Linked DNA regions of Drosophila melanogaster. The protein of the gene in region 2 purifies or fractionates together with the protein of the main gene of each other region. This does not show direct contact. Each region holds a gene or a part of one and is shown on either strand. Other genes may lie near its edges. The genes, in order: Phb2, betaTub85D, CG31125 and CG32219.

Region 1 (5,249 bases), on a different chromosome or scaffold from region 2:
CCGCGCCATCGGCTAGCTCCACGCTGCGTCGTCATCGGAGGGACACACCCGGTCTGGCCGAGAGCCGCAGGGCCAACAGCAATGCCAGCAGCAGTGGCAGCGAGAGCGGAAGTACCAGCGGGGCCAGCGGATCCGGAGGAGGAAAGCCACCGGCGACGGCCTGATCCTGGTCCATGTCGCGTCGCTTCTAAGCCACCTAACAATTACAAATTAACTCACATACAAAGCTAACCCCACGCGCCTAATGCAGGAATTTGATTGTTCGAGTTCGTTATGGATAGACTTAAGAATATTTATATGACTTGGAGACCCCGGGCGGTGGTTCGATTGCTCAACATCAAGGATGAACATCGCAGTGAATGCATGCCCATAACACACACACATGTTTCTAGTCAAGATCTCTCACACACACACAACATGGGAATGCCGCGGGGACACAACTCCTGGAGAAGCAACCTAATCTGCCTACAATTTACATACATAAACCTCTATACACTTAAATTATATACTGTATACACTCTTATGTACTATTCTTATGTATTTTATACACGCAATTAAAACGATAAGTAAATGTTTCGTAATCGTATGCGACGAAGTCGGCGTTCTGTTTGGCTCTGTTCTGTATGCGCTTTGTACTAGGATCTTGACAGGAAGCCCCCGCTAAGGTGTGGATCACATCATCCGCTCGGCCATGCTGCTCGCCACGTTGCCCACGTTCTTCTCCTTCTCCGCCGGCTGGGCGACCTTCGAGGCCATTTTCCGCGCGTCCAACCAGTCCTTGGGCAGACCGGTGCCAACTGCAATGATTGGGTGGATTGGGATTAGTGGAGGGATCGCTGCACGGGGACGCCGCTTCGTTTTTTCACGAGTGGTGTGCCCCGGCAGTTGAAGCTGAAATCAGTTGCAATCTATAAAGGGGGACACAACGATCTTCAGACAGTTCTCAGTACGCATTTATTTTCAGTTTCCGTTTCACGTGACTCTCGATGATGGGACATGGAAAGTTAAATGCTGATGCGGCCATTTGCCCGCATTGGTATCATTGGTCCACAAAATGCCTGGCCGTGTTTCAATCCTTGGCACCCAGTGAACGGATGTGGGATGAAGCTGCCTCCGGGTGACAAGGACTTAGCACTTGGCAGATAATTCGTGAAAAAATGAAGCCAATGCGCCGCTTGGGAGTGGTTAAAACTAAACGGTACTTAGGCTCTAGCTCGAAGGAATTTCAATAAAAATTAATTAACAACGAATGTGGATCGCCTCCTAGTCCAGGTCATCGGCTACTGGGTTGCGCGATCGGGTGAAACGTTAACAGAACGAAATTTTGTGCGGCAAATAGGAAGAGAGATGGAGTACGGAAAACGCGTTAGAAATTACTCAATTATGAAGGCTATGTCTAAGTTTTGGCCAATGTGATTGAAACCAAAAGTACAAGTGTTTTCAACTTAAAAGTAAACTCTTTTTGTTAATCAAAACGAGAGCTATTTACTTTTGTAAACCTTCTCGGTCATGTCATCGAAGCCAGAGTCCTGGATGTTAAGCATCAAGCTATCCGCCGACAAATAGACCTTGTTCTGTGAGCTGGCAATCTGTTGATAGGGGAAAAGCATTTCATTAATTTTAAATCAGAAGAGATTTAAAAGATTAATCATACCGTGCGTGCAATGCTTTGAGCGGCACGCAGCTTGCGCAGCTTCAGGTAGGCTGGGTTCTGCTTCACGGCCAGACCTAAGTAAACATATCAGTTAAGAAGAACCAGTAGGTGGCAATAAATTGGGTAAGCATAATCCCTATTTACATATTTCAAGAAGGCCAAAAATAAACGATGAACACAGAAAAACAATACAGTTTTTCCAGCTCACAACATACTAACAGCCTTTTAGTCAGATGTAAAAGGGAAAAAATGTTCTAGTTAGTGTTTTGTAAAAGGATATCATTTTAGCAGCCTCGGCTTCTCCCTCAGCCTGAACAATCTTCTGCTGCTTCTCCTGCTTGGCGCGCTCCACAAAGAAGACAGCCCGCTGTGCCTCCTGCTGAGCCACTTGTTTGGCCTCAATGGCCGCCGTGTATTCCTTGCCGAAGCTCAGCTCGGTGAGGGACACATCGTCCAGAATGATGTTGAAGTCGCGGGCGCGCTCGACCAGCTCCTTGCGGATGAGTAGGGATACCTAGTAACAGACAACTACTATATACAAACTGAATTAACCATGGTTAGTATGAAGATTTCTACCTGCTGACGCTGGGTAATAAGCTGCGAGGCATTGAACTTGGCAATCACGCTCTTCAGCACCTCGTTGCAAATGGAGGGCAGCACCTTCTCGTCGTAGTCCACGCCCAGCTGCTTGTGCAGATAGGGCAGGTTCAGGGAATCGGGGCGCGACAGCACACGCAGCGAGATGTTGATCATCTGCAGATCCTTGGAGCCAGTGGGCGAGGATATTTTGCGGGGACGCGAGCGAATGTCATAGATAATGGGATACTGGAACCAGGGGATGCGCACGTGCAGTCCCTCGGAGTAAATGTCGCTCTGGATGCCGCCCAGACGGCTGAAGATGATGGCGCGGTGACCACCCTCAACTGTTGAAAGGAGAATTAATCAAGTGAGTGGGTTTGCATACATAGTATAGTAAATAGTTAAATATATAACTTATATGTAATTACTTTGGACTTAAGACCCGAAAGTAAACACAAATATAATGGAGTTTGTTATGCAATCATGGGAAGATGAAATGTGGGACTGGCCAACAATAACAAGTAATTAAAGTGAGGATAACTGATAAGTTAATGCATGTTCCTCACATGCATCTTATTAGATAGAGTCTAATAAGAATATTGCAAATCATATTGGAAGTTATGAAATCCGGGAAACAGCAGAAACACACACACACAAAGCAACATCTCTATGCACTCTGTAATCATTTGAGGTTATGTGCACATGCCGCTATTGCCCGTGTTTATGGTTTTATCCCTCAAATCGGTGGCTTTATCCTATCGGCTTTATCCTTACCGGTGTACAGGGACTGACTGACTCCATAGGCGGCTGCTCCCACGGCGGCCAGGACCTTCAGTCCGATTCCCAATCCCGGCGGACCACCTTTGCCCAGCTTGCCGGCAAGATCGTTCAATTTGCTCTGTGCCATCTTGTTTGTCTTCTGCGACGAGGAATTTAAAAAATATATTAAATGTCGGTAAACGCAAAGCACTCTGTATAGATTTTGTGATAATAAACGTATGATTTTTCCACGTACAAAATTGGGAAACTCTCACGCACGTTTGGTTCGGTGTGACCGTATGTGACGTTGTCACATAATCATTCGTTATTTAAATCGATACAAAAATGTAATATTTTTGCTATTATCGGTTTGTGTGCTTGCTAACAACTATTTGTATTTTAATTTTTAATAAAAAACTTTCCGAGTTAGTTAAGTGTATTACTCCATTCATTTGTATAGTAGTATTTCAGCAATTTCTTTAATAAATTAGAAAACGAATTTTCGAACGAATTGCGCACATGTTTGTTTGTATAGAATAAGGTTTGATCGTTGGTTTTGATAAATGAGTATTGCGGCTTGCACGCGATTTCATACGGCGCGTTTTTCACGTTTGGCGCGTTTTGAGTGCGATTTCTGTGCGGCTTGATCGCGATTTTAGGCGTATTGATAACGGCTTGGTTTAAAATTTCAAATCTTTACCCAAATCAGTTATACGAAAGTAAAAGAAAAAAATATATATTATAATATAATAATGAATATATGTGCTAGTTAGCTTTAAAATTAAACATATTTACATAACCGTAAAAGTAAATTAAAATAAACATAAAAAAGATATGGCAAAAAAAAATAACTCATGGTGCGTTACCACTAATCACCTAACGCTGTAGCCAAAAGTTATAAATAGATGATGAAACCTGATGCCTGAGGCTTTTTGTTTTTGTTGCAGCACTTAAACTCACATGTTGTGTTTTTTTTTTTTTTTTTTGTAAATTTGTGACAATTACAATTTCAAGCGAATAGCTCCAGTGTGCTGGAGCGGAAAGGAATTTAAATCGGCCGGAGAAATTATCTGTGCCCCTTATCAAAAGGTGGCCTCTGTTTTCGTCATGTTTTGACAATCTGATTTGAGGATTTACCCTCTGCGCAGTGTTTATAGATTAGTATTTATGGTTTAGTCCCCCCCCTGATTGGGCCTTATTGCTTTATGGCGCTTGTCGCAAATTAGCCACTGATGGACTCGTAATTAATTTAGGGACAGCATCGATTAGATTAGATGGATGTCGTTTTGCCTCCCCCATCAAGCGGCGAGGAAAATTCCTCGAATTAGCCGCGCTAAAAGCCAAAATTTCGGGTGGTCAACTGACGCACCTGCCACCTTTCTTTTGATCACATCACGTTAAGATGCTAACAGGTGGCTCCTAATGGCTGCTAAATTTCGATCTGACGTCGAAAATTAAACTGCGAACCTAAGACAACCCAATTCGATTGGGTTCATTTGGCATTCGAAGTGCAAAGTTTGCATAAAAATATATCTGACGATGACGTTCGTATTCGCACTTCCAGAATTCCCCAAGGAAATCTACGTTTTAAGCTTCACAGCACTGAAAAAAAATATTTAAGTTATGCGGAATTCTTAAAAGAAAAAATCAAGTGAAAGATGCTATAAATTTGACTATTGCACTGAATAATCATTATAAATTTGTTGATAATTAATCAAATATGCGGAATACGTCATAATTTCTTCGTGTGCACTTAATTCCTGATGAGTTCGGTTGAAAGACCGCAGAAACTCACCATCGGAATACCCAAGTTCTAGAGTGGGCTACAATGGAAATGGGTGGAAGTACCCTAGTCAATGTCATCTGAGCCAAAATCGGCTATTGGCCCGCAATTAACATGCGCAACGGGCCGCTCGAACGGCCAATTGCGATCGGTCGACTTTAGTATGGCCAACATCGAATAGGTCGTACTTAGCTTAGTTATGTGATTATGTGCTCACTGACGGGGCCAACAAAGCTTGCCAATTTGGCGGCAGTTCGTTCGTTTTCCATTGAACGACAGGCACTTGAACTTGAATTTGAGGGGGTGTAAGCCTTTAGTTTCGTATTGAGGAACTAAAGTCGACATGTTGGCCAAGTTCAAGCCAAACAGCACGTTTTGCATATTAAGAACCCGGGCATCATTCATCACCAGTCCGGCGGCAAACTTGTGCAATCAGATGCAGACTGAAAGTCTATATAGTATAGTACGAATCTG
Region 2 (4,408 bases):
GATAAAAGAAAACTTATTACATATTTAAAGAATGATGAAATTTTTAAAATTCATTGTATCATATGTTATTCGGCCACTGTAACCGAAATCAACCATTTTTGGCGGATGCTGTGTGTTTGTTTTGCTGACAACTATCGATTTTGTCAGACGCAGCATCTTTAACTGAACGAAAAAGGCGCGTGGTGCAAAATATATTAATTGATTATAGATCGTAGTGATTATATTTGAGACTATATGATGAAGCGACAGAATGTCCGTACCCTTTCCCTGGTGGTATGCACTTTCACCTATCTTTTAATTGGAGCCGCCGTGTTCGATTCCCTGGAGTCACCAACGGAGGCCAAAAGATGGGAATTCCTACAGAGTGAGAAGCTTGTTGATTTATTAACCTAATTTCTTAGTAATGAATTTATTTAATCAATTGTAGCCGTTAAGAACAACTTTGTTAGAAAGTACAATGTGACTGACGAGGATTTCCGTGTGATGGAAATCGTCATCATTGAAAATAAGCCCCACAAGGCCGGACCTCAGTGGAAATTCGCTGGAGCTTTCTATTTCAGCACGGTTGTACTGGCAATGATAGGTAAATTAATTATCTATTAAATATGATTTATTGAATAGATTATAATTCTGTTGTAACTTTCTTTAGGATATGGTCATTCTACGCCAGTTACAATTCCGGGAAAAGCATTTTGTATGGGCTATGCTATGGTAAGTGAACTTACAATCCCAATTTCCAGTCTTCTAAAGATATTCCCTTATTAGGTGGGCATCCCGCTGGGTCTGGTGATGTTCCAGTCTATCGGAGAACGTCTGAATAAGTTTGCATCCGTGATAATAAGGCGGGCAAAGAGAGCCAGTGGAGCTCGCTGTACGGATGCCACCGAAATGAATCTCATGTTGGCCACCGGAATGCTCTCCTCCATAATAATCACCACTGGAGCAGCAGTCTTTTCCCGATACGAGGGTTGGAGCTACTTCGATAGCTTCTACTATTGTTTTGTCACCTTGACGACAATTGGTTTCGGCGATTATGTGGCATTGCAGAACGACCAAGCTCTAACTAATAAGCCTGGCTATGTGGCGCTGAGCTTGGTCTTCATCCTATTCGGCTTGGCCGTGGTGGCCGCCAGTATCAATCTATTGGTGCTCCGATTCATGACCATGTGAGTCCATGTTCTATTGCAGGAAATATCTTATTTAATGGATTTTTAATCACAGGCAAGCAGAGGATGCCAAGAGAGATGAGCAGGATGCTCAGAACTTGGCTGGAAATGCCCAGCCGGTGACCTTCGATGATGAGTCCACGTACAATATGCACGGCAAGCTGCTGGAGAACAACTACACAACGGAGAACGATGAGACCGCCTCCCTGTGTTCCTGCACCTGCATGGGTGGCACCAGGTGCCTGAATCATGAGCAGTTCGTGGACCCGGACTTTCAGCCTACCGACATTATCGAGAGCACCTTGTGCCTGAAGCGAGCCTCCGTCTGATATCCGTACAGCCAGCTGTGGGACTCCTCATTGTAGGAGCCAGAGCCAATGGATCACCAAATCGTAGTTACAATCCTGTAGAGAACCATCCGCCGCCAAAATTTGGTTGTTAGACAAACCTTCCTCCCTACGTAGATTTTTAAACCAGGATGGGTCATAATACATATAAGTTTGGAGAGCAAGGTTAATAGTCTTTAAAAGGCAGTTTTTGCTTAAGAAATAATCGACCCATCCCATTATACACCCATATAAACATTTACAAAGGAGTAAAATCCAGGACATCCATGTCAATATCAATCGTATCATCTGGTCGGTAGCCTTGGAATCCTCTATTGCTTCCAAGGCACCGCCAAATCCATCCCATCTCGAATTTTAGCCGTATATTCGTTTATCTATGTAAGTACTATTAAAGTTTGTGCTCAAAACGGAGAACTGAGTTTTCTGAAATCGGGGTGTGTGAAATGTGTCGAAGTCGGAAATCGTAGTAGCCTATTTGTGAACATTCGGTGTAGTAATCCAAGCCAGGTTCAGTTCACCTCAGTATCAGCTAGCACGTACACGACTAAAATCTAAACCTGAAAAATTATACGTTTAAATATTCAGTCTTTTGCCGATTTTTGCCCCACTCAGACTGTTTTAAAAGCTCGATTTTTTTTTGTACCATTTTTTCGGTGTGAAAAAGGGGCCCTAACTTTACTATCAAAATGCGTGAAATTGTACACATTCAGGCCGGTCAATGCGGTAACCAGATCGGTGGTAAATTCTGGGAGGTAATCTCGGATGAGCACTGTATAGATGCGACCGGAACGTACTACGGCGATAGTGATCTCCAGCTGGAGCGCATCAATGTATACTACAATGAAGCCACCGGTGCCAAGTATGTGCCACGCGCAATTCTCGTGGACCTGGAGCCCGGCACCATGGATTCGGTTCGTTCTGGCGCCTTTGGCCAGATCTTCCGGCCGGACAATTTTGTGTTTGGCCAATCGGGAGCAGGCAACAACTGGGCCAAGGGTCATTACACCGAGGGTGCTGAACTGGTGGATTCCGTCTTGGATGTGGTGCGAAAGGAGTCCGAGGGATGCGATTGCCTTCAGGTAAGTTTTGGGGGTTTGGGAATTTATCTGAAAAAGTTTACCCTACTTTTCTCCAACAGGGCTTCCAGCTGACCCACTCGCTGGGTGGCGGCACTGGCTCCGGCATGGGAACCCTGCTGATCTCGAAGATCCGCGAGGAGTACCCGGACCGCATCATGAACACCTTCTCGGTGGTGCCCTCGCCCAAGGTGTCCGATACGGTGGTGGAGCCCTACAATGCCACCCTGAGTGTGCATCAGCTGGTGGAGAACACCGATGAGACGTACTGCATCGACAACGAGGCGTTGTATGACATCTGCTTCCGCACACTGAAGCTGACCACGCCCACCTACGGTGACCTGAACCATCTGGTTTCGGCCACCATGTCTGGTGTGACGACCTGCCTGCGCTTCCCTGGCCAGCTGAACGCTGATCTTCGCAAGCTGGCCGTGAACATGGTACCCTTCCCCCGGCTGCACTTCTTCATGCCCGGATTCGCACCGCTCACCTCGCGAGGATCGCAACAATACCGGGCCCTTACCGTTCCGGAGCTGACCCAGCAGATGTTCGATGCCAAGAACATGATGGCTGCGTGCGATCCGCGACATGGTCGCTATCTGACCGTCGCCGCCATCTTCCGTGGCCGCATGTCCATGAAGGAGGTGGACGAGCAGATGCTCAACATTCAGAACAAGAACAGCAGCTTCTTCGTGGAATGGATCCCGAATAACTGCAAGACAGCGGTGTGCGATATTCCGCCCAGAGGTCTCAAGATGTCGGCCACCTTCATTGGCAACTCCACCGCCATTCAGGAGCTATTCAAACGGGTTTCGGAGCAGTTCACCGCCATGTTCCGAAGGAAGGCCTTCTTGCATTGGTACACCGGCGAGGGAATGGACGAAATGGAATTCACAGAGGCCGAGAGCAACATGAACGACTTGGTTTCTGAATATCAGCAGTACCAGGAGGCGACTGCCGATGAGGAGGGCGAATTCGATGAAGACGAAGAGGGTGGCGGCGATGAATAATAGGATTAACTTCCCACTCAAGATCACACATGAACACCAAAACAGGCTAGCAGGGGAACCCATTAGGAAGGCACAACACATTGGATCTTTGGGCCTTAGCATATTGTGCTTCGAGGCCCGTCGGTTGTACATATTTCCTATATGGATTCTTCACTGTTCGATTATTTATCATTCACACACGTACAGAAGAAATATGTCCACCTTTGTTAAGCTCATGTTGCAATTGCTGTGATTTCTGGGTTACGAATAAATGTTGATTTATAAGCAGACAAGATTACCAACAGCATTTTGCATATTTTTATACCGTTCAAAAGGCATTGCATAAACCTAAACATTAATATATAAATATTCTGGATTGAATTGAATTTGAGGCTAAGCGCTCAATATCGAAAATCTATATTTTGTTGGCAATCATTTTTTAGAGTTGCCTTACGAAAGTGACAGCTTTCCTTTCTGACAGGCCGTCATCATTCAAGTCATTCAAGTCATTGAAGTCAAGGCACCAAGATGTATTTTCCGACTACTCCAGTTACCTCTCGCAGTGGCTATCTGCGCGGCCGAAAGCGCATAAATCCGCATCCCATATCGCAACTGCAGAGTGGAAAACCGACGTCGGAAGACGACCAGGATAGCACAAATGTTGATCTAGAAGAATCAATCAGCTCAAGCTACTCATCGGAGACGGACATCTCGATGAACGTGGAGGCGCAGGACACCAGCACGGATAGTGGTCTGGACACTAGCCAGGAGAGCAGCAACGAACCGCGCTACTCCCTTCGAAAGATGGATAAGAATCCTCTTTAGTGGTT
Region 3 (3,982 bases), about 15 Mb from region 2:
CCGCATCGAGTTCTTTAAGAACGGTCAATCGCAGGGTGTGGCATTCGAAGACATTTATGCCGGCAGCTATTTCCCGGCCATCTCGATCCACAAAAGTGCAACGGTCAGCGTAAACTTCGGACCCGCCTTCAAGTATCCCGAGGTGCTCGTCGAGCACAAAGCCAAGGGGGTAATATATCTCGGTTTGTTCCCAGGAAGCTTAACATCTATTATACAATCCCCTACAGATGCACGATCGCGTGGAGGAGCTGATCACAGAGCAATGTTTAGCCGACACCCTCTACCTCACAGAACACGATGGACGTCTGCGCTTGGATAATATGGGTCTTTAGTGGGATATGTCGTCATACACATGAGTTTTGGAGAACTAGTGTGTTATTTTTGTATGCACTATACTTTGGAAAGCAGAAATTTGAAAAGACTATCATCATACTATCATACCTAAAACATTTAAAATTTACCACTTTTAAAGCAGAAGAATTTTAAGAAAACACTCTTTTGAGATCAGTTTTATTGTTTGAGGTTACTTGAAGGCTTTGAATTTCGAGGCACTGTAGGGTATGTAGAAGGCGCTGCTGGGCGCAAATTCGGTTCGCGGATGATGAACTGCCGCCGAGATAGATCGTCCCGTGGATGGTGTGTTGCTGGAAACGCTGGTCGCCCCAAATGGATGCAGTGTGGAGCGGTTGGAGGAACTGTTGCTGTGGCCATGGCTGTTGTGTCCGCCCCCGCCGCTGGAGTTGGTTTGGCTCGAAGTGGCCGTGGTGGTGGCCAGCAAATCCCTGCTGTGCCTGCCCAGATTAAGCGAGGGCAGGACTACCGCGTTCCTGTTGTTAAAAAAGCGATTGGCGGCCATGGGCATGTGCCAGGCGGACGATCGATGACTTTGATGTGGCAACACGGCGGACTTGGCCTGGTTCTGATGCTGCAGCTGCTCCTTCTGCTGCACCTGGGTGAGCTGAACGAAGCTGCGGTTGTTGAGCAATCCCCGAAAGCGCCGGTTGGTATCGAGCACATTGAGAATGGGCGGCATGCGCAGGCGTGCCGAGGATTGGGTGGTGGCTGAGATGGGCAGCTGGGGCTGGTTCTGCTGGCTGCGCTGTCGTTTGAGGAGTCTAACCGAAACGGAGGTAACCCGCAGATCCCTGTCCAGTAGATCCACCAGCTTCTTCTGGCTGTGCCGTAAATAGGAGTGGTGATGAGGCTGTTCTGGTTCTTCTGCCTTGGGTGTCAGAAATCCATCCTCCGCCTCCTCGTCATCATCGTCGTCGTCCAGGGAGTTCAGACTAAGATTTGAAATCGAGTCAATATCCTCCCGCGTCTGACTATCGAAGCTGTGGTGGCGCAGCGTTCGAGTCCGGCGGCCCAGCAGGCTAGGGAACTTTCGGTGCCAGTCGGCGATCTCGTTGCGCAACTCGGGCTCCTGAAGCTCCGTCAAGGGATCCTCGCCGCTCATCAGCCGCTCCACCCGCTCCCAGTCCAGCAGGTTCTTCTTGATGGCATCGTCCGCCCACGGAATGGAGCCCACCGAGCTGCGGTCAATGCTGCTAGAGGAGTAGGGCACATCCTGCAGGAACTCCGATTCATCCGGATCGTCCTTATCCGCTTCCTGTTCGTTGTTGTTGTCGTTGGCCTTGCAGATGGCACCCTCATTGTCCTCCAAATCCGCTCCGAAATAGTAGCGTCTGTCTGAGGACATCAAAACTGCTCCAGAAAAACGAGCTGGACTCGTTCTGCCTTCGCTTTCCCTTCCCTGCTCCTTGATCCTTGCACTCGCAAATCCCCGTGGGTGTCCTTTCGATTTATGTAGCTGTGCCTGTGGATGTGTTCCCCTTCAAAATCGATGCCGCAAAAGGCGGCGAGCGTCAATTGTTGTGTTGTGGCCCATTCCAGTTTAGCTTGTTATTTATTGTCCTTTTGTTGTTTCGACAAAAGGGCGCAGGCTCCACGGCGTTGCCAGTGTCGACCAGAAATAACGTTCGCTGGTTCAAAGTGGTTCAGAAAATCGATCATAGAGGGTATTCTTTTTGAGCTTAGCTTTTAAAGGGACAATAACTCTATTGAACTCTTATTTTAATCAAAACTTTGTAAATTACAAATCTTAAGGTTATGATTGGGCATAAGGAAATACTCCACAGCGATAATCGGTTTAAATACTAGTAATTTTTCAAATATCCCGCAAAATTGCTGCCTGTCTGTCATCCATCAATGTATCGATGTTTTAGTGTATATTGTATCGTTGTTACGTCGCTGCATCTCCCACCACTAGGTCGAGTTTTAACCATACGGTCATACTGTATATCGTCGGTTTTAGCTGGTGTAGGGTCATATTTTTGCCGGGCGTGCTGATGTCCTTTTTCGGGTGAAGCCAAGTCATTTGCCAGCCGGCGATCGCAGGCAACACAAGTACGGGATGTGGCACGAGGCGAGGAAACAGGAGCGCAAGATCCGTGGCCTGATCGTCGATTACCGCAAGAGGGCGGAGCGGCGGCAGTACTTCTACGACAAAATTCAGGCAGATCCCACCCAGTTTCTGCAACTGCATGGCCGGCGAAGCAAGATCTACTTGGATCCCGCGGTGGCCGCCGCCGGCGATGGAGCCGCAATCATGCAAGTGATATTCATTTAGAGCATAAAACCCTCTACTTTCTAGTTGCGTGGCGATGTTTTTGTTTTGCTAAGTAATGGATACTTTTTGCAGTGTGCCTTGGCAGGGTCAGCAGGACAACCTCATCGACCGCTTCGATGTACGCGCCCATTTGGATCACATTCCTCCCGTGAACAAGACCAACGCCGAGGGGGCGGATGGTGACTCCGAACTGACCCTCGAGGAGCGTCAGCTAAACTACGAGCGCTATCGCATCCTGGCGCAAAATGACTTCCTCAACGTCAGCGAGGATAAGTTTCTGCACCAACTCTACCTGGAGGAACAGTTTGGGGCCAATGCCCAACTGGAGGCGGAACGGAATCTGGCCAAAAAGAAGCAGAAGACGGGAGGAGCCACAATTGGCTACTCCTACGAAGATACCGGCGATGGAGCGACTATTGGACCTCAGCCTTTTGGAGCCGCCAGTTCAACTGTCATTGGTGGAGCGGCAGCTGTTGCGAAGGGTGAAAAGGGGGATGGCAGTGAAGAATCGGATTCTGACATCGATATGGATGTGTCGATAGACATCGGCAAGCTGGACACCTCGCAAGCCCATGAGCTTAACGCCTGCGGGCGCAACTACGGCATGAAAAGCAACGACTTCTTCTCACACCTCACTAAGGATGCTGACGAGGCGGATGCCCTGCGCATTGCGCGCGAGGAGGAGCAGGAGAAGATGCTGCTGAGCGGGCGCAAGTCAAGACGCGAGCGTCGGGCGCAAAAGGAGAGAAGGATCGCCAATAGACCATTCAGTCCGCCAAGCTATGCTGCCAAGGAGGATAAGGACAAAAAAGGTGGTGGTAAGGGCGGTGAGAAAGAAAAGGAGGAGGACAGCGAATCGCGTTCGCCGTCGCCCGCGGAAGCAGGTCCCGAGAAGATAACCTACATTACCTCGTTTGGGGGCGAGGACGAAATGCAGCCGCACTCCAAGATCACCATCAGCCTGACGAAGCCTGGTCTGACCCTGGGTGAATCGTGCATCAATGCCAGTAGCGGAGCGGCGATTGCCGCCGCCGCAGCATCTTCGGTTTCCTATGCTCAAAAGGTGAAAGATAATCTGGACAAGTTGAAAGTGATGAATGAGTCGTCCAAGCGCAACAGACGTCGATCCCGCTCGCACTCCCGCTCTCGTTCTAGGAGTGCCACAGTCTCAAGGAGTCGGAGTGGTAGTCGTCGGAGTGGCAGTCGTCGTAGAAGTCGCCGCAGTAGAAGCTATCACAGAAGGAGCAGGACGCGTTCACGTCGCCGACGAAGGTACTACTCTAGATCAAGATCCAGGTCGAGATCAAGATCCCGTTCGCTGTCAAGATCCAGATCCAGATCCCGCAGTCGATC
Region 4 (3,318 bases), on a different chromosome or scaffold from region 2:
CGACGGAAATGCAACGCAGCCGAAGGCGATGACGTCATCGGCGGCCAGGATGAATGACGCCCTTTCGGCATCTTTGGCCGATTTGAGCGAGCAGGAAAATGGAACCACGGGTGAGTGTGAAAATCCTCCTTAATCCCTGAATGGAAAAGCTGCTTCAAATCAAATTAATTTCACAAAAGGCAGCATTTTGTATTCTTTGTAGACGGTGGAGCTTAAATAAGAACTAGGTTATCTAAAATACTACTAAAACCCTGTTGAATATAAGCATAAAACGCTTCAATTCGTTATACACCAGTTTAGTTTTGCCATTGGAACTGTCGAAAACTAAAATTCGTATTTACTACAATTATTTTCTTGTTTTCCGTTTTATTTGTAGTAAATATATACAAATATTTACGGCATTACCTATGCATTTTTAAATCAAGAATCATCATCCTCTACAAGAGGATTTCTGTTTTGAACATACATTGCCTGGATTTTGGCTTCGAAACGTATAGTAACTCAACTTTCTTATGTGTCCAACTTACCGGGTGTAGAATGTATTTAAATTTTCGTTTTGGGTGTTGGTCTATGAAATGAGCCTCCGGCTCGGTTGCCATTCATCTTCTGGCCAACTCATGGCCATATTCGCTGGTTGCCTTGGTTTGGTCTTTAAATTGAGTGCCCAACCCGCCGGTTTTGTCCCCTGGCTGGCTGATGTAACCCCGTGCGCTACTTAATTTGGGCTTGTCACGATAACATCGGGGTCTCCCCATTTCCACTTCCGTTTCCACGTACAATTTCCAGCGACGGCTGCTTTCTTTGGAACATCGCGCGTTTGTTGTTTTAATTAAATTTACCCCGGCCTGGGCACAGTTCATAATGATAACTATGATAATGATGACCAAAGAGTTACTTTCACTATTAATTTTTGATTAACTCATCCGGGTCTTTTGACGGGGGTTGAGTAGGTCCTAGGATTAATGCAAAGTAACTCTCTTTATTGAAGAAGCAGGTCAATTATGAACTTTAGTTCTGAAAGTAATTGCAACCGATCAGCAGTAATGAGAGTAGCAAGATAAGTTTCTGTGGATAACTAGAGCTCCTCCCATCTCCTGTAGTTCTTTGGCAAAAATACTTGCAGTTATTGCACAAGTCTTTATTGCTGAAATACTTTTCATTGACTAGTATCGTACAGCCCAGCTTCGGTGACCAGAAACAGCAGTATTCCTGAATGGGATCTGTAGTGATAAATGCCGATTAAATGAGTGGCAAGGCAAAAGTGACTTACATTTTATCTCAAAACAGTTTGGCACACATTCAGCAAACGCACTTTCCTCATCCGATGCAAATCTTAAAATTGAGTTTTGGTCATCTTTATGGCAATGGAACCCAACCACCTGGCCATTGTTGTTACTTATGCCCGGACAACATCCACAATCGTAATGATCTTCGACAGCCGCTTTAAAATCAATAAAAAAAAGTGTAATAAAATTATTAATACCTTGCTAATAACGAGGTTACTTACAATGATTATGATTACAATCTTCGTAAGTATTTCGATAAAGTAAAAAAAACACTAAAACCTGTATTAGCATTCTTATAAAAGCGATTTTAAAGGAAAGTGTACTTAATATTTTGAGAGCTTTGTCATTGTGAACTTGGTTAAAAAATAGATTTTGATTTGAAAATAGCTTTATTTAATCTTATCGACCTAACTAGCTCATCAAACTAACGCATACTCATTAAAACACATCATCGAATTAAAAAGATACCCTTTTATTTGCTGTTTGTTATGGTTAATTTGATGGGTCCAAAAATATAAATTATATAAAAATGGCCATCCCATTCTACTGTGCAATTATAGATTATCCTAGTATATGCTGAGTAGCAGAAAGGCCAATAAAACTGAGAATCCGTAGGATTCCGAGACCTTATCACTTCCATCCGAATCATCGACATAGGTTTGCTTAGTTGCGCTGCAAAATCGTCTGCAAGTCTTGCAGCTATATATTTTCTTATCGTAGAACTTCCTTCCGATCAGCGCAGAGCATCCCAATTTCGGTGACCAAAAGCAGCAATACGCTTTTATTTTCCCTATTAGACGATAGTGGTAATACATTTGACCTGGCCAATTTGTGAAGGACTCACGAGTTGCAATAAAGTGGTCTGGCAGGCAGTCCGGATAACTATTTGTCCATTTTCCAAAATTTTCCTCAATGGCCGAGTCATCTTCGAAGTGGCAATGAAAATCAGTGTTGGTACGAAAGTTCTTTTCACTTGAACAATTTGCGCAAGCCGGAAATGAAATTTCATGATCGGCTATGCAACCAAATAGAAATAGATTTAAATTCCATAAAATTTTATTAGGTAATTTACCTGAAGAGAAAGGCGTTGTGGAAGTATAGTAATTTTTTAGGTTTATCGGGTGCCCGCACTTGAGAGCCAAGCAAATGTAAACTAGCAATACAAAAAATTTCATTTCATAATTTATATAATAAACAGAGTCAATTATTTAAAAAAAATGTCTGTTTCCGTTCATTTGACAATTTGATCTTCGCCTAACATGCTTGGCAATTTTTTAAATTCATATTAGTATGATTTGAAGCGATTTTTTGGTTTCCAAATTACTAAAAGAAATTGATTTATTTTTAAGTTCTTTTTTGGCACAATATTTGAGTATGATTGTAGTGATCCCTATCCTATCAAATCCACAGTTCACAAAACAACAGTGCCATTATGAATCCATATTCCGGAATCCTATTGCTTCCGACTGAGTCGTCGGAATATTTCAATCCGGAACAAGATCCTTTGCAAGTATCGCAATAATCGGAGCTTTTATCGAACAGAAGCCTTCCGATGAGAGCTGAACATCCCGATGTCGGCGACCAAAAGCAGCAATAGTTTTTAACTTCCCCTATTATTGGGAATTTGGAATGTTTGGACCTACATATATCTAACTTATACAACTCTTGAACGAACCATTGATAACGTAATCCTTTGGCACACAAGGCGCATATTTATCATCTGTCTCGCCAAACTTATTTTCCACCTGTCTTTCATCTTCGAAGTGGCACGTAAATCCTGTACTTATATGCACGTTTTTTATGTTTGTACAATTTCCACAAATGGGAAAACCTTGGCTATGGTCAGCTGGTCAGAATAAAAATTCAAAACTCAAATCAAAATTTAACTTTGGTTTACAATTACCCGTATTGTAGAACTTTCGAATGCCCTTTTCAAATGTGGAATTTACTGAAATAGCACCTTCGCAAACAAAAGAGATGGTGTAAAGTATTACCAATGCAAATTTCATTTTTTTTTTATTATTATTTTTGG

The links.
Region 1: the proteins of betaTub85D (region 2) and Phb2 purify together in Drosophila melanogaster (affinity purification with mass spectrometry, with the first as the bait; one large-scale study listed by BioGRID). This does not show direct contact.
Region 3: the proteins of betaTub85D (region 2) and CG31125 purify together in Drosophila melanogaster (affinity purification with mass spectrometry, with the first as the bait; one large-scale study listed by BioGRID). This does not show direct contact.
Region 4: the proteins of betaTub85D (region 2) and CG32219 purify together in Drosophila melanogaster (affinity purification with mass spectrometry, with the first as the bait; one large-scale study listed by BioGRID). This does not show direct contact.

Annotation. Positions count from the first base shown.
Region 1 is NT_033778.4:18,817,524-18,822,772, reverse strand, and holds Phb2 (prohibitin 2), read right to left. Parts: upstream 3,307-5,249; 5' UTR 3,249-3,306; exon of another isoform or gene 3,153-3,248; 5' UTR 3,141-3,152; coding exon 3,008-3,140; intron 2,578-3,007; coding exon 2,231-2,577; intron 2,169-2,230; coding exon 1,935-2,168; intron 1,733-1,934; coding exon 1,655-1,732; intron 1,590-1,654; coding exon 1,490-1,589; coding exon of another isoform or gene 1,482-1,489; exon of another isoform or gene 1,284-1,481; coding exon of another isoform or gene 1,264-1,283; exon of another isoform or gene 934-1,263; intron 798-933; coding exon 673-797; 3' UTR 523-672; downstream 1-522.
Region 2 is NT_033777.3:9,407,844-9,412,251, reverse strand, and holds betaTub85D (beta-Tubulin at 85D), read left to right. Parts: upstream 1-1,969; 5' UTR 1,970-2,199; coding exon 2,200-2,592; intron 2,593-2,651; coding exon 2,652-3,599; 3' UTR 3,600-3,869; downstream 3,870-4,408. Other genes in the region: Task7 (TWIK-related acid-sensitive K[+] channel 7), read left to right, coding at 235-364, 428-583, 650-711, 766-1,166, 1,222-1,495; CG44261 (uncharacterized protein), read left to right, coding at 4,107-4,403. UniProt on the Drosophila melanogaster protein: Tubulin is the major constituent of microtubules, a cylinder consisting of laterally associated linear protofilaments composed of alpha- and beta-tubulin heterodimers.
Region 3 is NT_033777.3:24,652,871-24,656,852, forward strand, and holds CG31125 (uncharacterized protein), read right to left. Parts: upstream 1,951-3,982; 5' UTR 1,700-1,950; coding exon 524-1,699; 3' UTR 501-523; downstream 1-500. Other genes in the region: ash2 (absent, small, or homeotic discs 2), read left to right, coding at 1-169, 228-332; CG6695 (uncharacterized protein), read left to right, coding at 2,414-2,610, 2,702-3,982.
Region 4 is NT_037436.4:19,949,496-19,952,813, forward strand, and holds CG32219 (uncharacterized protein), read right to left. Parts: upstream 1,641-3,318; 5' UTR 1,578-1,640; coding exon 1,508-1,577; intron 1,442-1,507; coding exon 1,271-1,441; intron 1,221-1,270; coding exon 1,009-1,220; 3' UTR 528-1,008; downstream 1-527. Other genes in the region: Ac76E (adenylyl cyclase 76E), read left to right, coding at 1-110; CG34258 (uncharacterized protein), read right to left, coding at 1,853-2,076, 2,131-2,301, 2,359-2,461; CG33710 (uncharacterized protein), read right to left, coding at 2,685-2,896, 2,962-3,132, 3,190-3,295.